Linked DNA regions of Daphnia pulex. Each later gene encodes a partner of the first gene's protein in a complex. Links are inferred from orthologs where the notes say so. Each region holds a gene or a part of one and is shown on either strand. Other genes may lie near its edges.

Evidence for each region. Proteins that work in one complex are often made in the same cells at the same time.
Region 2: puff-specific protein Bx42-like (region 1) and serine/arginine repetitive matrix protein 1-like share a complex: the UniProt entries of both Homo sapiens proteins name them as parts of the minor spliceosome. The link is inferred for Daphnia pulex from reciprocal best matches to the Homo sapiens genes SNW1 and SRRM1.
Region 3: puff-specific protein Bx42-like (region 1) and BUD13 homolog share a complex: the UniProt entries of both Homo sapiens proteins name them as parts of the minor spliceosome. The link is inferred for Daphnia pulex from reciprocal best matches to the Homo sapiens genes SNW1 and BUD13.
Region 4: puff-specific protein Bx42-like (region 1) and cysteine-rich PDZ-binding protein-like share a complex: the UniProt entries of both Homo sapiens proteins name them as parts of the minor spliceosome. The link is inferred for Daphnia pulex from reciprocal best matches to the Homo sapiens genes SNW1 and CRIPT.
Region 5: puff-specific protein Bx42-like (region 1) and spliceosome-associated protein CWC15 homolog share a complex: the UniProt entries of both Homo sapiens proteins name them as parts of the minor spliceosome. The link is inferred for Daphnia pulex from reciprocal best matches to the Homo sapiens genes SNW1 and CWC15.
Region 6: puff-specific protein Bx42-like (region 1) and RING-type E3 ubiquitin-protein ligase PPIL2-like share a complex: the UniProt entries of both Homo sapiens proteins name them as parts of the minor spliceosome. The link is inferred for Daphnia pulex from reciprocal best matches to the Homo sapiens genes SNW1 and PPIL2.

Annotation. Positions count from the first base shown.
Region 1 is NC_060018.1:216,102-220,178, forward strand, and holds puff-specific protein Bx42-like, read left to right. Parts: upstream 1-1,277; 5' UTR 1,278-1,751; coding exon 1,752-1,768; intron 1,769-1,840; coding exon 1,841-2,461; intron 2,462-2,523; coding exon 2,524-2,722; intron 2,723-2,788; coding exon 2,789-3,105; intron 3,106-3,173; coding exon 3,174-3,452; intron 3,453-3,524; coding exon 3,525-3,726; 3' UTR 3,727-3,861; downstream 3,862-4,077. Other genes in the region: uncharacterized protein LOC124188708, read right to left, coding at 4,014-4,077. UniProt on the Homo sapiens protein: Involved in pre-mRNA splicing as component of the spliceosome. As a component of the minor spliceosome, involved in the splicing of U12-type introns in pre-mRNAs.
Region 2 is NC_060027.1:2,460,234-2,464,283, forward strand, and holds the start of serine/arginine repetitive matrix protein 1-like, read left to right. Parts: upstream 1-1,250; 5' UTR 1,251-1,399; coding exon 1,400-1,423; intron 1,424-1,582; coding exon 1,583-1,672; intron 1,673-1,757; coding exon 1,758-1,886; intron 1,887-2,199; exon of another isoform or gene 2,200-3,017; intron 3,018-3,218; coding exon 3,219-3,389; intron 3,390-3,460; coding exon 3,461-4,050. Other genes in the region: SH3 domain-containing protein Dlish-like, read right to left, coding at 1-34. UniProt on the Homo sapiens protein: Part of pre- and post-splicing multiprotein mRNP complexes. As a component of the minor spliceosome, involved in the splicing of U12-type introns in pre-mRNAs. Involved in numerous pre-mRNA processing events.
Region 3 is NC_060019.1:12,606,282-12,609,942, forward strand, and holds BUD13 homolog, read left to right. Parts: upstream 1-1,477; 5' UTR 1,478-1,500; coding exon 1,501-1,613; intron 1,614-1,715; coding exon 1,716-3,108; 3' UTR 3,109-3,161; downstream 3,162-3,661. Other genes in the region: glutamate carboxypeptidase 2-like, read right to left, coding at 1-131, 193-315, 379-670, 747-867, 933-993. UniProt on the Homo sapiens protein: Involved in pre-mRNA splicing as component of the activated spliceosome. As a component of the minor spliceosome, involved in the splicing of U12-type introns in pre-mRNAs.
Region 4 is NC_060021.1:4,590,171-4,592,723, reverse strand, and holds cysteine-rich PDZ-binding protein-like, read right to left. Parts: upstream 1,098-2,553; 5' UTR 978-1,097; coding exon 764-977; intron 690-763; coding exon 601-689; 3' UTR 501-600; downstream 1-500. UniProt on the Homo sapiens protein: As a component of the minor spliceosome, involved in the splicing of U12-type introns in pre-mRNAs. Involved in the cytoskeletal anchoring of DLG4 in excitatory synapses.
Region 5 is NC_060025.1:5,440,217-5,443,209, forward strand, and holds spliceosome-associated protein CWC15 homolog, read left to right. Parts: upstream 1-1,328; 5' UTR 1,329-1,564; coding exon 1,565-1,695; intron 1,696-1,752; coding exon 1,753-1,896; intron 1,897-1,983; coding exon 1,984-2,143; intron 2,144-2,202; coding exon 2,203-2,445; 3' UTR 2,446-2,493; downstream 2,494-2,993. Other genes in the region: unextended protein-like, read left to right, coding at 152-444, 530-802; cell cycle checkpoint protein RAD17-like, read right to left, coding at 2,759-2,913, 2,979-2,993. UniProt on the Homo sapiens protein: Involved in pre-mRNA splicing as component of the spliceosome. Component of the PRP19-CDC5L complex that forms an integral part of the spliceosome and is required for activating pre-mRNA splicing.
Region 6 is NC_060022.1:781,503-785,789, forward strand, and holds RING-type E3 ubiquitin-protein ligase PPIL2-like, read left to right. Parts: upstream 1-1,487; 5' UTR 1,488-1,669; coding exon 1,670-1,701; intron 1,702-1,777; coding exon 1,778-1,997; intron 1,998-2,085; coding exon 2,086-2,395; intron 2,396-2,472; coding exon 2,473-2,618; intron 2,619-2,713; coding exon 2,714-2,837; intron 2,838-2,913; coding exon 2,914-3,062; intron 3,063-3,124; coding exon 3,125-3,276; intron 3,277-3,339; coding exon 3,340-3,529; intron 3,530-3,589; coding exon 3,590-3,732; intron 3,733-3,798; coding exon 3,799-3,895; 3' UTR 3,896-3,966; downstream 3,967-4,287. Other genes in the region: somatomedin-B and thrombospondin type-1 domain-containing protein-like, read left to right, coding at 195-324, 454-530, 631-845; eIF-2-alpha kinase activator GCN1-like, read left to right, coding at 4,130-4,144, 4,229-4,287. UniProt on the Homo sapiens protein: Has a ubiquitin-protein ligase activity acting as an E3 ubiquitin protein ligase or as an ubiquitin-ubiquitin ligase promoting elongation of ubiquitin chains on substrates.

The DNA.
Region 1 (4,077 bases):
GTCTTAATGAGATGCTCGGTGCTGTTGCGTAATTAACGTGCCTCGGGACCTCAACTATCTCTCTCTCCATGGGCAAATAACTTGAATAATAAACATGACTGCTGCCATGGGCTTATCTGTCAGTAAACTTCACCATCAGCTGCTGCGCCACAAGCACCCCGGTGCCAAATCAAGTTCCCCTTGTGCCAAGGCCTACATAGTATAGTCTGAGCGAGACAAGGCGGCCTATATCGATCGATCCGTCCAAAGAGCCTCAACCAACCCCCACCACCCAGCCAACTGTATTATCGCACAAGGGAAAAGGCGAAACTGCTATACACACACATATATAGTCTTGGATCAAATAGATGATATATATACAGAGGAAGAAGAAGACTTTGATAATGAGACGTGCTGCTGCTGCCGTTCCTTTATTTATTGGAGACCGGCATCAGCACATCTCGTATTGATTTCCTGTTGCAAAGAGAGCAGCCGTCGTCGTCGAAAAGTTCCCAAATCTTGTCCTACAACTGTCTCTCTATTATCGGATGTACTGTATGCATTGTGGATGCATTATAAAGCCCTACGCCGCAAAAGAGATTTATTGGCCCACACATTGAAAGTCGAAACGGAAGGCGGAAGAGAGACGGAGATGAGGCGAGCTCACGGTCACCGCACATCCACATTTATCATTTGTTATGGGACGAGACTCTGAACTGCCTCGCTGATTCGCATCGCTTCAAAATGAGAATCTATTCACTATAGTATATCAAACTCTTACGTTGGCATTTATGGCCACCGGATTTCAGACTGTTAAGCCAGCTATCCGTTGATAAATCAGATGGTGCAACCCTCCCAACGAGAACAGCATTTATTTTTACGACTGTGTCGTCGTCGTGGGATATATTGGCCAAAGTGAAAGTTTTTAAGGTGTTTACTTTTTTCATATGGCGATGCGCTCAGTTCCGCTCGGCGTCCAACTTGTAACACAGAGAGGGTCGATTTCATCAGCGCTCACTTTTACACGTCGGCGTTAATTGCGTTGCATCAAACGAAAAACACAGTGGGCGGCAACTCGTTATATTTTGCCTTGCCATTAGATGTTATTACAAGCAGATTGCAAGAGACGCGAAGTTCCATTAGAGTTGACAAGCGTTCGTATTTCAACTCGGGGCGGGTATGGATTACTTGACTTTCTTATTCTTTTCCACCCACTCTCGACTTTCATCTCATTACCGTAAAAAATGCCAAGAACGGCTGCGAGGAGAAGGAAAAAGGTTGTTGACTGCGCTCTTATTTTTTTATGGAACGGAGAAGAAAAACGTCGGAAGGAATATGAGAGAGAGACTGTAATAAGAAAAGGCGCGCTAACACTCTCATCTCAAGTGCGTCTATTTATTCCGCCCATCATTAAACCTTATTGGATACATCCAACGCAGAGCATACACACACACACGGCGCCACAATCTTGTAAAAAGTTTTCAGGATCGATACGACGTTTTTCCTTTTTTTATATAATTCCCATCACGTCTTGAGCGCCCCATCCCATTGATGGAGACACAATTTTATGTAAACTCTGGATAATTTAATAATATTCTTTTTTTTTTAATTTGTATCGAATAAAATGTCGATGTTGCGAAAAGCCGAAAATATCCCGCATTTTATCTCGCTCTGTTGCGAAGAAACAATCTGACAACGTTGCATCATAAATTATTCTCGAGTTACAATTTTTGTATTTGGCAACATCTTGGTTGAAAGACTCGACTGAAAACATGGCGTCGTTATCAAGGTATAATAATTATTTTTTTGATTTCCTTGTATTTAAACTATGTATTAATTATGGTCATGTTATTTTATACAGTTATCTCCCAGCGCCAACGCAGTTGACGTGGGATCGAGATGTCGAGGAGCAAAAGGAACGTGCTAATCGCCAAACGGCCATCGTGGCCGCCACAAAGGCAATCCCACCATACGGAAATCGCGATTCATGGATGCCTCGAAATGTTTCCGATTTCGGAGATGGAGGTGCTTTTCCCGAAATTCACATGGCCCAATATCCAATGGACATGGGTCGCAAAGACCAGGCTGGACAAAAGTCAAATGCCTTGGCCATCCAACTTGATGCAGAGGGAAAGATCAAATATGATGCTATTGCCAGGCAAGGCCATGGGAAGGACAAACACGTCTACTCCAAATTCACTGATCTCCTGCCTGCTGAAATTACCAATGAGGATGATCCCTCTTTGCACAAGCCCACAGACGATGAAATTGCAGATATAACAGAGAAAACGAGACAAGCCCTGGAAAGAATCACCAATGCCAAAGTAGAAGCAGCTCTTCCAGTCCGTGCCGCAGAGAGAACTGGCCCTGCTCAATTCATTCGCTACACACCAGCACAGCAGGGTGATGAATTCAATTCTGGCGCCAAACAACGCATTATCCGCATGGTTGAAGTACAAAAAGATCCCATGGAACCCCCAAGGTAAATTTTAGAAAAAGTGCCATTTCATTTCATTCCCATATTGACTGATTATTTTTCACTAGGTTCAAAATCAACCAAAAAATCCCCCGTGGTCCACCTTCTCCTCCTGCCCCCGTGTTGCATTCTCCTACACGTAAAGTAACTGTCAAGGAACAACAGGAATGGAAAATTCCGCCTTGCATTTCAAATTGGAAGAACGCTAAAGGTTACACCATTCCTCTTGACAAACGTTTGGCAGCCGATGGTCGAGGACTTCAACAGGTGCCGTCCCTAACGACCTAAAAACGTGTCTTTCCCCAATCAACTAAATGTTGTTGTTTCTCGCAGGTTCACATTAACGAGAAATTCGCGAAATTGGCCGAATCATTGTACATAGCCGATCGAAAGGCCAGAGAGTCGGTTGAACTTCGCGCCCAACTTCAAAAGAAACAAGCGCAAAAAGAAAAGGAAAAGAAGGAAGATACTCTGCGACAGCTGGCGCAGCAAGTCCGCGAAGAGAGAGCAGGTCTGCGACCCGGTGCAGGCGCTGCTGCTGCTCGTGAAGACGACGATGATGCAGCGGAGCGTGACAACTTGAGACAAGAACGGCATCGTGAGCGTCAACGTGAGCGCAACATTGCACGCGCGGCTCCCGGCGATAAAAAGTATTAAACATTTGATTTCCTTTCAACTTTTTCCAGTCAATTAATTAACAATTTCCATTGACGCGTAGATCCAAACTCGATCGCCAACGCGAGCGTGACATTAGTGAGCAGATTGCATTGGGGATGCCTGCTCGAGCTTCTGCAAGTGGCGAGACCATGTACGATCAGCGTTTACTGAACCAAACTCGTGGAATGGACAGTGGATTCGCCGATGATGAGGCCTACAATGTCTACGACAAACCTTGGCGTGAACAAGGAACTCTGTCCAGTAATCTCTATCGTCCGACCAAGAACCTCGATCAAGATTTGTACGGCGACGATTTGGATAAACTTGTCAAGACCAGCAAGTAAGTTGACCTACTTTCAAGGTGCATTGGTTTATGAAGTTGAAACTCATTTTGTTTTTCATTTGTTTACAGGTTTGTACCTGATAAGGAATTTAGCGGAACTGATCGTTCTGGTCCTTCCGGCTCCCGCAGTGGTCCAGTTCAGTTTGAGAAGGAAGAGGATCCTTTCGGCCTCGACAAGTTTTTGACGGACGTCCGCAAGGCCAGTAGCAAACGACCCACTGACGCGGAACGCTCAGACAAGGACAAGGATAAGAGACGGCGTCGAGACTAAATATTGTTTTTCTTTCCGTTGACGATTTCGCAATTTGTTTCATTTTACCTCACACAAAAAAAAATCTTTTTAAAAAAACCACAAAAACAATGATTCCTTTTCTCCAAGACCAGAATACATTTCAAATGAAATGTCTGTGACTAGTTTTATTTATTCATTGATTACGAGACAAAACACTTGATTCAATACTGTAAAGTGACGAAACATTTTGCAAGAATGTACATAATGGTAAATCGAAAATGCAGCAGAAGACTTGAATATCACCAGACAAGTGTAAGTAATAATCATCATGAAAAGAGTCCAGTGGAAAGTCCACGATAAAAACACCTAGCCTCCAGAAGCCTGTGTAGC
Region 2 (4,050 bases), on another chromosome or scaffold:
CTCGGCGTATCCTCACTGGACACAAGAAAGCCATGACTCAGGTGTGCACCAGACACTCAACACACACTAACACACGCACTATTAACTCGAAATCGATTGGTAAAATGCACTTGATTAGTTTAATTTGTTTGACACAATTAGCAGGGCAATGTCGATTGTTGTATGTTCAGTCGTCAGGTGAGAATGAGAATTGACACAGCAGCAGAAAGAGTCAGCCTGGAAGAAGGCCTGGTTTCTGCTTCTGTTCCATGGCCTCCGCCAATACCCACTGGCACTGCACACCTTGAAAAACAGTCTCTGCTGGTAGATGGGAAGAAGAAGAAGAAGAAGAAGAAGCAACAACTTTACCTCCCAATCCCCCCTCTAACCAATTCCATCCAACCAGGTTTTCTCAAATACAGTTTGTTGCCTTTATGCTCCAGGGGCTCTTTTTCTTACCTTCTTCTTCTTCTTCTTCCTTCATTCACATTCTTTCCCTCTATATGCACCTTTATTATTATATACCTTTGGGCTCTTCTTCTTCTTCTTTCGCTGCTGCTGCTGCTGCTGCTAATTTATTTCTTCCCTTTTCTTGAGGATTGGAGTTTTTTTTGTTTGGGAAGGAAGAGACGCTTTTTACCTGTGCACACCGCCGCGTCTTATAGCCTAGCGGTCACGTAAAAGGTGCGCGCATGCCAGCTCAAGCTAAAAGGGATGTAGTCAGTCAACCAACAAGAAAGCCTTTTATTTTCTTAATTCATTTTTTTTTCTTCTTTTCAACCATTTCTGTCTGTGGTTGATTTATACTTTTTGATGGTTATCTTATTACACTTAAAAAAAAAAAGCCTTTGGGGACAAAGTTGCACCGGTCGTACAGTTATTTTATAAAGGCAAAGAGAGTTCAAGGAGCTCAAGTCTACTTAATAAGCAGTGACCGTTTGCTACCTACTCGCAGGATCAAATGACAAAACAGGTTCCTTGCAATTTTGGCTTCAACTGAAAAAACGACATTTTTCTTATAGTCAAATTAACCGGTTGGACGCGCCATGATTTCGGGATACATTATTTCGCGTCGATAAATTGAGAGGAAACCTTAGATTGGCATTTTCCCGTTATTCGTCCAATTGATTTTGTCATCGAAGAAAATTAGTTATGCGTAGCGTAACCCATATTTGATATGTTTTGTCCTTTTTTTCTTTCAGAAGCGCTGGCAGGAGCTGGCGCTATGCATATGCAGCAGTCGATTTATTTTTCTAAACTGGCAATGCTGTTTCCATTTTCCTGACTGAAGGGACAAGAGGGAAGGCGATCAATTGAGTTAGGGGTCCTCCATTTAAGACTTGAGTTTAGCCCGGCTTTATTCTCCCATTTATTTTTACTTTTATAGAATTACCTCGATTTGAGGTATTTTTCTTTCACAATGACTGATGCCGGTTTCTTCAGAGTAAGTGTTAATAATTACCCAAGTTAGAACTATTATTCCCTTGAATTGTTTGCAGCATCTCGACACGCCAACTCGGTCGTAAAATTCTTGCTTCATCAGTTGTGAAATCTGTTTTGTTAACTGATGGGATGCATTGTAATATTTGAATTCTTTCAACAGGGCACCTCAACTGAGCAAGACAATAGATTTAGTGACAAAGAGAAGAAGCTTTTGAAGACTATCAAATTTGCTGAAAATGTGACTAGAAAGGTAAATTATTGATCACCTGTGCAACTTTAACAACATCAATATGAGTTACATGTTAATATTCATTAATGCATGTTAAAAAATTCAGGTGGATATGAGCAAAGTTAAGTTGGAAACCATCAAACCATGGATCACAACCAAAATTACAGAACTTATGGGAGGAATTGAAGATGACGTCCTGGTGGAATATGTTTTTAATCAGCTCGAAGCTGACAAGGTAATATCCTTTTAATCTCAGCCGTGTAGATTTATCTTATGGGAAACATTTGCCACCAAAGCTTTTCACCAATCATTCTGCTGTTTATCTTATGCAATTTTTTTAATATCAGGCTGAAATAGCCATCACATACTAAGAATGATTGAACGTCAGCTCCTTTGCATCTGGTTCTTGTTTGTAATTTGGTTTAATGTGAAAGATAAGTTATGATTTAAGTTTTCACCACCCAGATGGCTTTGATTATATTTTGTCTGTGCTCATGCTCATCTCAATATCTTGTACACTTTTGGGTCCTGTGTTATGAAGACTTAATGTGGAATTGCATCAAAGCCTTGTTGTCACCATGTCACACACACCACCTTGACATGATGGATGCAAGGATTCTTTCTCGACCGAGACCTGGTCGCATTATTTCGAGGTCTTCTCTTCGAATTGATTCACCTTTCGGCCTGTTCCGTGGACGATTCCTCTTATCGTCGGCCACGATGTCTATGGATTTGGATTTCCAACGTTTCGCAGTCGACCGATGAAGGATTCACTCCTGCGAAATGATGGAATACGGCACGTTCTAAACCATCGAGTCATGAGAGGCAATTCTGGGATCGCCTTTCGCCCAGCCAATGCAACGCCTTCTCCCCCAGTTGATAGTTAACCGCACAGTCGACAACAGGGAAAACTCCTGTGTGGTTAAGTCGGGCTCTGATCGCAGTAGGCCTACTCAGGAATCCGTGTTGAGAAGCTGAGAAGAAGAGATCCTTTCGTCTCGGCCCAAAAAGCAGGACGGTACAGTCGACAGAGATAAGACTCCTGTGCCGTTCGCTAACGTGGTCGAAGCTGCTAGATTTGCCTGATAGATGACGACAGACCATCCCATCTTTAAAAATCACCTGATCGATCGCATCGTGGTGCCGGGGTAGCCATCAGGAGTAGGACTAGTCAGATGACGACCCAATAGCTGGGCGGTACAGTCGACAGGACAACTCCTGTGCCGCTCGCTTCGTGGTCGTCTCTTTGATACCGAGTCGCCGGTGTTTTTATGACGGATGGGAAACTCGGTTCTCCCTCAACGCCCAGATTGGAAAAAAAGAAATAAGAGATTTTTTTCTGTTGTCACTCTGGTCGAGCTCTCAGGCAAGAATAACAAACCAAAACAAACTACGTAAAACAGCTTATCCTTTTAAAGAGCAAACCCCTGAAAGGTATTGCTCGCTTAATCCGCCGAGATCATACCGAAACCTAATCTATTTGTGTCCGTTTACTTAAGTATCTCTTTTCCATTTCGGTTGTTTGATTTTTCTGTTATTTGTCTTTTTTTTTTCTTAAAACCTATAGAACCCTGACCCTCGTCGCATGCAAATCAATTTAACTGGATTCCTCAACGGCAAGAATGCCAGGATTCTGATGACTGAATTGTGGGATCTTCTACTATCTGCCCAAGAATCGTCTGCTGGAATTCCGGAGGTCTTTATGGCACAGAAGAAGGAAGAAATCAAATTAAGAAAGGTATGCAACCATCGGAAATAATTCGCGGTATTAGTTTTGTTTCTATCATTTTCGTCTTTATTGGTTTGCAGGAAGAACAAGATCGAATCCAGGAAGCAATCAAAAAGGCCGACCGGGATCGGCGCGCTGACCGAGAAAAGGAACGCAACGACCGTACTGACAAACGAGCTTCCAAAGATAGAAGCCGTAGCCCCAACAAGGACAGGGTGATCAAGAAGGAAGGAGACAATCCCCGCTCTTCACCTCGTCGTGACGGCCGACGTCCTTCATTGGAGCGTCGTTCTCCTAATCGAGGCAAGGCGTCGCCACCGCCTCGTCGTCGCTCACCTGCCAGATCGCCAGCAAGGCGCTCGCCTCGTCGATCTCCACGTCGATCACCTGTTCGTCGCTCCCCAGCTCGCCGTTCTCCTGCACGCAGATCTCCCGCTCGTCGCTCGCCAGCTAGACGATCACCCGTTCGCCGCTCTCCCGCTAGGAGATCTCCAGTTCGAAGGTCCCCAGCCCGCAGATCTCCTGTTCGTCGGTCACCGGTCCGCAGGTCGCCCGTTCGAAGATCTCCCAGGCGTTCACCTGTTCGTAATCATTCTCCTCGGCGTCCTTCACCACGCCGTTCGCCCGTGAGGAAGTCACCCGTTCGACACCGGTCGGCGGAACGTCGTCG
Region 3 (3,661 bases), on another chromosome or scaffold:
CCACTTTGAACAGCCATGCCCGGAAGTCGCGTTGTGTTGGGATAGACAGATGTGCGCCCTTCCGGGGCGAAATCTTTGGGATCAGAAAAGAGTATCACTCCAAGAGCTCCTCCATCTTCGGCGGATTTCACCTGTAGTACAAATATCAAATGTTAGTAATAATTCAATACATTTTTAAAAATAATTGATTACGATATTGCCACGAAAAATCGCCCCATATCGAGCAATCACAATTCGACCACGAATGTCTATGCCGAGAGATTTCAAGTACTCAAAATCTTGTTTCCGACCATAATTTGCGTAAATGAGTTCCCCCTATGAAATGGTGTAATTAAGTTAAGTGTCATCAATAAAACAACGATAGAAATTTAATTTCACCTCGACAGTTCCGTTAGCTGAATAAGCGTTAAAATTGGGTTGAACTAACGGAGAGAATTCTTCGCTGGAAAAGAGTGGCGTCTGACGTCCTGAGGTGGTGAAGTTCACCTTGCCGTTGGAGTCGAGTAGCGAGACCTGATTGGGGTTGCTCATGTCTGGGTAGGAAAGCAGCACCTTGTAAGGAACCAATTGGACTTCGTCTAATCCTCCCTCGACGAAACGATCGCGCACCCAACTAGCCACTTCCAAATCCTGTGGAGTTCCAGCTAAATTCGGTATACTGCTCAAATATCTGTGACAATCATTTTGGGAGTTAATTAGACAATGAATCAAATTTGTCTTTTGATTAGCGATGATGTTGGACTTACTTGAGATATTCGCCAATATTTGATGCACTGAGCTCCTCCATCAAAGTGGCAGACATTTTCGCCTTCTGAGGCGACACGTCGTCCCTATCATTTCCGATAGCGTAACGACCGATGAGAATTCCTTTGTCAGGTGGAAAGATGAAGTCAAACCAACACATACAGTAACATTTCAAATGATTACGATACCTATGATAAGACAAATTACAGAAGCCGTGCAAATTAAAATCCAGTTGGGTTTTTGCGCCATCGTTTCGCTGCGATCACTTCTCCACACCCTTCCGTTCTCGTTTACTGTACCTCAAATAATAACGACGGTTTGAAAAGAAACAGGTTATTAAATAGCTGAAAATATGACAATGAAAGCACGGGAAGTGCGGGTAGAAAGTCGGGTTCGAGATTGCGTGTTCCATATGCAGCGGCACGCAAATACCTGGACAGTAACTAAGGTGATTTGACAAGCCAACCAGACCATCGGTTGCTTGTGGTTTAACACAAGACAGGTCGCATGCTTAACTGACGGGTGACTCTTGTAAAAAATGTAAACGCCATAGGCAATGAATACATTTCTTTAAAATCGCTATTACATAAATCTATTTTTTTTAAACAATTTTTTTTATTTTGAAAACTTCCCGATAGATGGTGTATAGTTTCACGCGTTAACCATAGGTGGAGCTTGTATTCATATTTCGTGTGAAAGCGTTGACAAACGCGAGGGATTACGGTTTGTAAATATTCCCCTGAAATTATTGTAAAAATGAGTGCTCCTATGAGCAAATTAGAATATCTGAAAAAGTACATGTCCTCTTCGAAAAAAGAAGAAAATAAAGTCAAGAAAAAGAAACTCAGGCCCTTACTGAAAGCCAAAGGGTAAGTCAGGCTTTTTGTGAACTTTAGACAATACACATCATTTTTTAATTTTAACTTAAGCTTTTTCTTAATCTAGTCAATTTGTTTTCATTTACTTATTAGGGGCATCAAGATCGTTGATGAAGAAATAGATTTGAGGAAGATAGCTGCAGGATACGAGAAAGATGAAGACCAAATTGACAACCAAGAAGATGCTCCTCTGGTGGCTGGGGTTGTCGATAATCGTTCCATAGAAATGATAACCAAACAAGACTTTGTGGAAAGTTCAAAGTGGAAGAGACTTGGTGTGGATGAAAATGACAAACCAAAATCCATGTCTAAATCAAGTGATCGAGATATTGATTCAAGTGACAGTCACTTACCAAGGAAAGATTCCACTGCCTTGAAACGACCAATCACAGTGAAGAAAGAAAGACATGATTCAGATTCAGATCCCAGTCCTCCACGTAGAAGACACGATTCTGATTCAGATGCCAGCCCACCTAGAAGAAAGCGCCATGATTCAGACTCTGATCCATCTCCACTTAGAAGAACGAGAAAAGACTCTGATCAAAGCCCACCACGAAAACGTCACGATTCAGACTCAGATGCTAGTCCTCCTCGAAGAACAAGGAAAGACTCGGATCAAAGCCCACAACGAAAGCGACACGATTCAGACTCGGACCAAAGTCCATTAAGAAGGCGTAAAGGCTCCGATTCCGACCAGAGTCCACCAAGAAAGCATCAAAATGCTGACGGTGATCTCAGTCCTCCGCGGCGGAAGAAAAACGTTGATTCCGGTGCCCAAATGCGCATCAAACCAGATCCAGACGGAGACCTCAGCCCTGAGCGTCCTAATAAATCAACATCACGCAGCGGAGGAGCTTCGGAGAAACTGACCAAAACCCTAGATGGAAAGATGGCCGGCCTTCAGACTGGCAGAGCTTTGCGTGAGGAGACTGATGCATTACGCAAGAGAGAAGAGGAAGCCTTCCGCAAAATGGACAAATCACTCACTGGGCAGAACGCCACGACTGCCATCCGAGCTGGCAAGCTGCGCCAAATTGAAGCCAAGCAACAGGTTGATAAAGAAAAAGCCGAGAAGATTGCCAAGCTGCAAGAAGCTTACCAAAAATGGAACAAGGGTCTTAAACAAGGAGAAACGCATTCGACGCAAGTTGCCGAAGCCATTCACGAAATGTCCAAACCGCTGGCTCGTTTCGCCGATGACGAAGATTTGGAAAGGTTGTTACGCGAACAAGATCGTGAAGGTGATCCCATGGCTGCTTACATGGCCAAGAAAAAGGTCAAGAGCGGTGGTGACGGCAAGGGGAAAGCCGCTAGACCTGTCTACAGGGGCCCTGCTGCTGCTCCCAATCGTTTCGGTATACTACCCGGCTACAGATGGGACGGGGTTGACCGCTCGACTGGCTACGAGAAGATGTACTTTGAAAAACAAAACAACGCCGTGGCCCTTCAGGAGGAAGCCTACAAATGGAGTGTATCCGACATGTGATTCCGATGATGAATTTACCTTGACTGAATAAAGCCATGCAATTACTTTTAGTAGCCAATGACGCCTGTCCTTGTTCTTAACATTTCCCTTTTTATTACCTCGACGGAATGGGGCCCATCCATCAACATTCAAAATTGCAGGGTTTTTTTCAGATTCAACGAGAGGCGCGCGGAGGAAATTCCATGCGGATGGCGTCAACACTTTGCACATTTTCCGAGTCGCGACTCTACCAGCAGTTCGTGAAAGTTGCCCAACCCATGTTGTAGAGGAGGTGCGGCTATTCATGAATCGTCCGTCGTGGTTGAATCGGAAAATTCTATCCGGAAGATGACACCCTTTCCGGCCTTGGCTGCCTTCAAATCATTTTTCTTCTGTTGTTCAGCAGCAGAAAAAGAAAAGAAAGAAAAGGCGTTGGGGTCGTTTCTGTTGAGTGTGTCGAGTGCGCTATGGCCAGATGGCGCTTTGGCTGAGTGTGTCGAAAGAGAAGGGAGGAAGGTCACGGCACGAAGTGGGCCGGCCGTTTTCAGGTGTGCCCTGTTGTCCGTGTTGTCTA
Region 4 (2,553 bases), on another chromosome or scaffold:
TCTCGAAATATATCGTATAACGCCTTACAAGTAATATTTTTTGTTTGTTATTGCTTAGCATGGACTTAGCCAACAAGTAAAAAGTACTGCAAATTTTCTGGAATTAGTATATATATGTAAACAGCATGTTTAATTCTAATGCTAAATTGCATAGAACGACATCATTCGCTGTGTTTATTGATTATTGAGCTCATAAAAAAAACAATTCTCAGTCTAAGTTTAATTGTTCAAAGGAGATTAACCTTTGGTCCTTAACCTTTTAAGCATTACCTCTGACAAAATAAGGGATGGAGTTCAGAGTATAATTTACATATCCATCCATTAGCCATGCCATAAGATAATTTACAAAGAAAATTTACTGGTAATATTCTGCATATACTTGAGGTATGAAAAATTTACAAATTTTAATACCAAAAATTAATATAGTACCACTCAAGATAATTACAGTGATTGTAAGGTCTCAAACTTCACATGAGTAAAGCACTAGAGTACGAAAAGAGTTTCAAGCATCTTAATTTCATATATTCCATTCAATGTCACATTCACTTAAAGATTAGGAGACATAGACAAGATTGTAACACAACATAACACAACAGATTATCAAGTGGAAGATTGTTTGTAGCTTTTTGTGTCAATAATTTTCTTTCCACACATCGAACAGATTCCTTTTTTATAAGCACAAGGTTGACCTGTAAATTCCAAATTACAGTAATTTTGTTAGACTCAATTCAGCTTCTTTTCTTATAAATTCTTTGGTACTTACAATAATACGATCCATTTTGATGAACTTTCTGTTTACATATTCTGCAGCCTTCAAATTTCGGTGTATATGGGTTGAAACGATTTTTTGTAGAAGTAAGAGCTTTGTTTTCATTGAGCTTGCGACCACCACCTTCTGTGGTATTTCGAGCTCCTGATTTCCATGGGTCTGGAGTTATAACTTTACCCAGTTTTTTCTCACATTTATCGCACACCATCTTTCTACAGGCTTTAACTGCGTTTTTAGTTTAGTCAATCAACAAAAAAACTTCAAAGCTAGATTCGAGTCGACTAGTCGAAGCTTTGTTTTTGCAAACTACCACCTAGCGATCATAAGGCAAACTTCAGTTAGTTCACATAGACAAGCAGAGATGGCTTTAACCTTTTCTAAGACTGGGATGGTTAAATCTATTGCCACGACATCATGTCGTGGCAATACGGTCGAAACTGTCTATTGCCACGACATCTGTCGTGGCACTATCACTGTCGTCGTCACTAGAACGCCCACCCGACACTAGAACGTCCATATTTTAGAAACGAAACTAGAACGGAAAAACTATTGCGACATTAGAACGGCTATAATAAAACCTGCGGTGGAGTTTAATTCTTTACCGCTAGATGTAGGAGATGTATCCGTTTAGGTTGCGCGAATTTTGAAACAAATTAACGCTTTTAATCTTGTCAAAATAACGCAGTCTCCAATTCCCCCATAAAAAAAAAACTGGGCAAAAAACCGAAACCTGAATCTGGGCAAACAAACATGATGGCACATTATTATAGGTATCAAAGAAAAATAAAGAGAGTTGACTTGAAGGCTACCACATCGGTAGCCCGTCACGGAATTTTATTTGTGCGTGGGCTATAAAATTGATTTTCCATGATTTTCATGAGATGGCTCTTCGGGGTGTAATAGATCAAATCAGAGGAGCTATATCCGTGGATACGAAATATATTATATACAGTACCCTCACAAAGTTTGGAAACACGGCGAGTGTTTCCGCGCTTCTAACACGGCGGCTTACGGGCCAATGTGTCTCCCTTTTTTCGCGATAACTCACGTTTGAGTTATCGCAAAGCAAATTTTAAAAAATCTTCTTGGTGAGGAAAGAATTTTCTTTCACCATGATTTTTTTCAGATTTTAGTAAATTGAACTTTATCCCCAAAGTGCTAGACATAAAGTTTGGAAACATCGGCGCGCTCGCCATATGTTTCCAAGCTAAAGTGTATGCTAGTTAAAAAATCATAAAAAATTGAAATTAATAAATTTTTACTTGAAACTTTTACCAACGGTAGACGACATAGTCGTCTACATTTGGACAAAGTTTCAAATTTTTCTAATGAAACTCTGATTTGTCCCGATTTTTTAAAAAACAATTCCGATTTATTTTGGTGGCGCAGGGACGAAATCCTAGCCCGGGGGAAGAATAGAAGAGGGAAAACCGCCGGACCCCTTTGTTCTCCCCTATTCTCTTCCCTCTATTTTTCTATTTTAAAAAATCGAGAAAAATCAGAGTTTCATTAGAAAAATTTGAAACTTTGTCCAAATGTAGACGACTATGTCGTCTACCGTTGGTAAAAGTTTCAAGTAAAAATTTATTAATTTCAATTTTTTATGATTTTTTAACTAGCATACACTTTAGCTTGGAAACATATGGCGAGCGCGCCGATGTTTCCAAACTTTATGTCTAGCACTTTGGGGATAAAGTTCAATTTACTAAAATCTGAAAAAAATCATGGTGAAAGAAAATTCTTTCCTCACCAAGAAGATTTTTTAAAATTTGCTTTGCGATAAC
Region 5 (2,993 bases), on another chromosome or scaffold:
ATTTCATTAACGTTATTCTCTGTTGAAATATTGGGATGGGTACTATTGCTTTTAACTATAACATGGCAAAAGATGAGCTATATATTGTAGGGGGTTTAATAACTTTACTGCATGGCGATTTCACCAATGGTTTAATGTTATTATGTATCAGGAGAATCGTCATTTGCCAACCAGTTCTTTCATGGCAGCGTACAATCAATTCACTCTCCAATCATCGATGAATTCGACATTGGCGATAATGGAAGCAAAGCTGCACGTGGACAGGCGTTTGTTGTTGATTATACTGTTCGTGCGGTCAGTGATCTAGTGTATTTTCACATGAGCCGATCCCTGTACCAAGCAGTCAGAAGTGCTACCGTCCTAGAGCGGGTACAGCGTGAAGTTGTGCCACGAATGACGGAATGCGAATCTGCTTTCATGTCTAGCAGAGAAGATTCTGATACGGTATGGGATTCCTGCAACTGAATTACTTTTATGTAGATGATAAATATTGTGACTAACCCAATTTTTTTTTTAAATTGCATTTTAGTCTGTAAATTTGACGAACGGGTTTTCACCTATTGAGTTACAACCTGACAGTTCTCGTTGTAATTCTAACTGCCTCCTGACTAGATCTGATCCGGAAAAAGAAAGCCTACTAAGTAGTTCACGAGGTAGTTCATTACCTAGTACCCCAAATGTTTGTGTGGTCGATAGTCGATACAAAAGAAATGACGTTTTCAGTAGTTGTTCACCCCAGACCATCATTAATCATCAAAATGATACTGGAAATTACTCTTTTCCACACCGTTCTGATCGATAATTCCTTGGATAATTCGATTTAGTGAAATATTTGATGAAAACTGGGAAAACAGTTGAACAAATAGTTCGTCTACAACCGCTGGCGCGCTCAAATATTAGTGAAATTGTCGGAGAACGATTAATGTGGATGCATCCTATAAATGTGGTACCACTTCTTGACATTCCCGTTGATAAAATAATAATGTAGAAAAGGGAAGGTGCAAGACGATGCGCACTACTATGGTTTGTTGTTTTATCAATCTAAATTTGTTTTAGTAGTGATTGAAAATCTAGAACTTTCATTGTCAACACATTCACACAGTCGATTTTTTTATTGGTTATTAAAAATAAACCACAAACATATGTATTCCTTTAATGTACTGTAATTGCGTAACATAAATCGTGTGTGGAAATGTAGGAAACCAGTTATGTGAGGTGAAACAAAGTAACCTATTTCGTACTTTTTTTAATTAACAAAATTTCGCGGGTTTTCTGATCAAATCGGGGGAGGAGCATAAAAATCGACACTAGCGACACCACATTGAAAACGAAGAACTATCAACCTGCTTCTTCTGCTTCTTGCATGAGTTGCATCTCGACTCGAGATTCTCGAGTAAGAATCCAACTTCTGTCGTGTGTCCTTGATTAGTTGATTTTAATTGTGTTGGGGGAAAAGCGTTTAGTAACTTTGGAGGTTTTCAAGAGTCGGATACAACAGAGCAACTCTTTCATCAAAGCCAAGTACAAGTAGCATTTTCCACAGTAATTGAAAAATCGTTAGAAAATGACAACTGCTTCGCGACCAACATTTGCCCCTGCTACTGGAGGACAAGGCAGGGGAGAAACGTCTCTCAGTTCTATGAGTAAGCAATATTCGAGTCGAGATCTTGCATCACATACTAAACTAAAATACAGGTAAAATTTAAATTTAATTCAAAAATTCTGACATTCTAATTTTATTTCTTTTGATAGGGATATTGGTCAGGGATCATCAGAGGAAATTCGCAACAAGGATCTAAAAAGAGATCTAGAAGAACGGGAAAAATCTCATAAGGAAAAAGGAGATCGCAAAGACAGAGATAGGGCTGTTAAATCAGCTTCGTCAGTATCTTCCCAGTAAGTCTGAAAAACATTTAACTTTTTTTCCCTATCTCTACAAACTATTTCAGTTATGGGATTAAAGAATGTGTTAACACTTTGCAGGAAGAAATTACGTGTTGATCCTAGTAGCTTGGATGCAGATGATCCCATTGAAGACGAAAGTGATGACAGTGTTGATGAAGAAGATGAAGATGACACTGCTGAATTAATGGCAGAGCTTCAGAGAATAAAGGGTGAACGAGCATCTGAATTGGCCAAAAAGGTATTATCATTGACTTAGATGCTCTTGTTTGTCAAATACACAAATTGCTTGTTTTTCAGGAAATGGAACAGAGACAAGAAGAGGAACGTATCAGAATGGAAAATATTTTAAGCGGAAATCCATTGTTAAATTACGCTGGGAAACCTCAGAAATCTGACTTGCGTGTCAAACGACGATGGGATGACGATGTTGTCTTCAAAAATTGTTCCCGTGCTGAGCCGGAAAGGAAAGAAATCACTTTTATTAATGATTCACTTCGGTCTGAATTTCATAAGAAATTCATGGACAAGTATATTAAATAATTTTTTATGTTCCATGCATTTGATTAAATACATTTCCTGTCTTAATTACTAAGTTTATTTGTAAAATTTTTTTTTGTGGCTGATTCGTTAATCGTCTGTAAAGGACTAAAGACACTTTAATTCAGTATACCAATTTTTCCTTTAAAAAGTTTTCTTATTCATTCATTGGCATACTTACAATATAAGAAAATATTTTTAAATTATTTATTCCTCTTTGTTCATCAAATAGAATTTTATAATTCTAAATATTAGAAATTGTTGACATTACAATAAAAAAAAACCTCGATCTCTTTATTATCGCGACGTGACGACTCTAGTCGTCATAATCTTCGATGATGATATCAGCGTCCTCGTCCCGATCCTTTTTACCATTCGAGTTTACGGAGTCCACTACATTTGCTGAAAAATCAGTGGATTGACTAACTTGAAACTGGTGGTAATTAAGCTGGCCTGATGTTGATTTTAACCCTGTATCAATTTAATTAAATGAATAATAATAAGATATTTAAAAATAAAGAGAAATGAGATCTCACCGTCTGTTATTTTAG
Region 6 (4,287 bases), on another chromosome or scaffold:
GTGGGTGTCAGACGGGCCGAGAATAATAAGGGGGAAATCATAATAAGTTTGGGTCAAGAATACAAATGAACCGGAAAATTCTGTCAATGGAGTATACCTGTCATATAATAGTTACCGCGGCTATTGTTCCAACATTTTCTTAACTAACATTTTAAACTTTTTTTGTTTTTTCTATTGTTGGACGTCACGGACAGAAATGGCTATGCTGTTACCGGCTTCGTTTGGTGCCAGCCGCCGGATGAACGACAGCCACGACATCCGCAAGAATCTGCGCTTCCGCAACGCTGAGCTCGCCCAGGAGCACCCGGAAGGTTCCACCAACGAGTGAGGATACATACCTATAAACAATCAAGCCACAAAATTTAAGAAATTTTCGACACCAATGATTGCTCTTCAATTGGACGTTGAAAATTGGCGCATACATGTTGCAATAACACTTCCGTCTTTATTCAGTTACTGCGTGACATTCGAGCTGACCAAAGTGTCCAAGGCCTGCCACAAAGAGAAAGTGTTCAACTCTCTTACTGACGGTAATTGACTTCCGGAATAATAATATCCGGATGGAAATATCATTTTTCAAAAATTGTGTTTTGATACATTTATTTTATTTTATTCCTTTTCGTGGTTTAGGCGGCGTCGTCTGTGTTCGATGTGAACACAAGGCTACTCGTGACTATTTGGGAGGCCGTTGCGGTGGTCACGGAGTGCCGGGTAGAATTACACGCTGGACATCGCTGACCAACGTCGAGTGCCATGGCAAATGGCTCAGACGTCCGGATGAATCTCACGAGGTTTCCAGCTCGACTTGTTCGTGCGACGAGGACGCTCTGTTAATTTTCGTTTAGGTCTCAACACAAGAGACGCAAACTATAAGGAAACGAACAAGGAAGAAGATCAATTTTAAACAAAATCTCCTTAAATTTGTTATGCTACCACATTAATTATTTCTATTTTTTTTTCTTTGTCTTTCGAATCATTCTTTTTTTTTACCTAAAATATTCGATCTGAGGGTGGTTTAATTAAAAAAAACGCGAATGAAACGAGCGAAAGCTAGAACAAAAAAATTAACTGTCGACCCACCCATCGAGTTTAATGCGAGTGTGAAAATACACAGAAAGGGAAATTTCCATAGAACCAATTTATTCACTTAATCTTTTGTTTGCTGTCAGCTGCCTAGTCTATAGTGGAGTCTAGCAATTATTATGCATTGTTGACTTTCATATCGCTTAGGCTTAGCCGTCTTCTTTGAATGGTTCCTCTTAATTATCTTATCTCGAATCATTTTGAGGCTTTTATGAAGGTCGATCCTGGCCCCCTAGTGGCTGAACGTCCAACGACCAATATTTCATCATTTAATTTGGCCAATGAAATTCTTGATGATGTGATCGTTGGATGTTATTTTTCGTACATAAAATTTTTTTTTAAATGGTAGAACAATTCAATAATCGTTATAAAAAGACAAAAAGTTTAAAAGTTTAAGTCGAGCGGTTGAAGCTTGAAGGGTAAGCAGACGACGTTCAAGACAGTGTGCCAAAACAACAAGTCGGTTTATTAGTCGTTTGGCGTTCTATTCCATAAACTGAAAAAAGTTTGCTCGATTTTAATTTGTGTATTTCACAGAGAACTTTGATACTGTTTTTCTTCATCAAAGCGTGAAAACTATCTGAAAATGGGAAAACGACAACACCAGAAAGATAAAATGCAAGTTCTAAGATATTTCAATTTGAATGATATGTTTAGTATGAAAACACTAACTAGTTTACTATCTTATATTTAGGTACTTGACAAGTACAGAGTGGAGCACATTGTATGGTGGGAAGAAGCCTGTTAATCCAAATAGTGCCAGTGCTTCATTTCGACGACTTCCATATGATCACTGTGCCTTGTCACTTCAGCTTTTTGAGAATCCTTTGTGTGACACTGAAGGAAATGTTTTCGACCTTCTTGCTATAGTTCCATACTTGAAAAAGTATAAAACTAATCCAGTAACAGGAAAAGTAAGTTTTGCTTATGGGTATTGCATGTTTGCTTCATCCGATAAACTTGAACTAGAAAGGCATGTTTATGAGAATTTAATTTTTCTAGCCATTGGAAAGCAAAGCCCTTCTGAGGTTAAATTATCATAAAAATGCTGAAGGGGCATACCATTGCCCTGTATTGTTCAAGCAGTTCACAGACAAATCCCACATTGTGGCCATCAGAACTACTGGAAATGTGTTCTCCTATGAGGCAGTAGAGCAACTCAATCTGAAGCCCAAAAACTGGAAAGAGTTGTTAACAGATGAAACATTTGCTCGTCAAGACATTATCACTCTTCAAGACCCATCTCACCTAGAAAAGTTTAACATCGCTAAATTTTATCATGTAACGCATGACCAAAAAATCGAAAATGAAGGTAATTTGTTGTCTTATTGATTATAGACTTAACAACGCCAATTGATTTGCTTTCATAAATATGATTCTCTCTACTAGAATTAATAAGGGCCAAAACCGATCCTGCAGCCCGTCTCAAATACATCAATGCAGAAACGAAGGGAGTTTTGGCAGAATTAGAACAGGAATACAAGGCACCTGAAGAGACTGTAACTGTAAAAGCAGTAGCTGATTCCATTAATGCGGTAATTTGATTCAGTTAAAGTTTTAAATTTATCCCTTTTATTTATTATTATTTTCGTTTTTATAACTTGTTTATAAAACAAAAAAAAACTATCAGGCTCATTATTCCACCGGGGCTGTCGCTGCTGGTTTTACTTCTACGGTGATGGCACCAGAAACTAAGCATGAACCAGCAATTCTCGATGAAAGTATCGTTCGATATCAGCGCATTAAGAAAAAAGGTTAAAGTAGTTTCTTGTAATGAATTCTTCACAAACCATCTAAATTTGTTTTTATTTCATCAATTTAATTTCTTAGGTTATGTTAGACTAGTTACAAATGTCGGGCCTCTTAATTTAGAGTTACATTGTGAAATGGTACCTAAAACGTGTGAAAATTTCGTCAACCTGTGCAAAAAAGGCTACTACAACAACACCAAGTTTCATCGGTCTATCAAGCATTTCATGGTACTGTAGATCTCAACGTGATCACGGGCTGTTACAGAGATTTCCTAACAAAAATTTTCCAGATTCAAGGTGGCGATCCCACTGGAACTGGTACCGGAGGAGAGTCTTGCTGGGGAGGATCATTTGAAGATGAATTTAAGCCGAATCTATCCCACACCGGTCGGGGTATTTTATCGATGGCGAACTCGGGAACCAACACTAATAAATCTCAGTTGTACGTTTAAATTATCTAGTTCTATGCATACATTACGCATCAATTTGATTATTACTCTTTCAGTTTTATCACCTATCGCTCGTGTAAACATCTGGACGGAAAGCACACAATATTCGGTCGTGTCGTGGGTGGAATGGAAACTTTGAGCGCTATGGAACGAATTGGTACTGACAATAAAGATCGACCCGTAGAAGAGATTATTATTGAGTCGTCACAGATATTTACAGACCCATATGCCGAAGTAGACGAAAAGGTTGCCGAGAAAATCAATTCAACCTTAGAAGCAAAATTTACTTTTGTTTTTACATTTTAGTTGGTGATTGAGAGAGCCGCAGCGCTAGAAGAAGCTGAGAGACAGTTGAAGGAAGCAAAGGCTTCCATCCCTAAAGCCCAGCTTAAGGTTTTCAAACAATCTGGTGTAGGAAAATACATCAACCCTAAAGCTTTCACCAACAAGTATATCTTTAATTTTCTATTAAATAAAATAGTTTCATTGCAGCTTATTATTATTTTTTTTTATAGACCAGCTGATTCGGCTGGAGAAGAATCCGGCAGTTCTCAACATAAAAAAGCTAAAACATCTGCTAACTATTCATTTGGTAATTTCAGTAATTGGTGACCTTCCCGGATATTGGATTATTCTTTGCTTACTTGTGGCTGATTTTTTAAAAATAAACTCTTTCTCGAACACTTGTTCTTATCAAATTGTATGTCATTTTTTTTACTCAATAATTCTGTAGCAATTAAAAATAAAAATCGAAAAAGGGGAAGGAAGGGTTCACAATTTTACTGACTTTTTTTTATATGCGACGGCAACGCAGCATTGTCCTCTCGTCTGCCAAAACGACACACGATGGATGACAAACCGGTAAGCAAACCACATTTATGATAAATAATAATTTGTTAAATTACGCGTTCAATAATCAATGTCTTTTGGTGATTTGTTTTCTAGTTAGCGAAAGCGCTGAAAGATTTACCCTTGAGGGTACAATCAGCCAGCTATCTCGAACG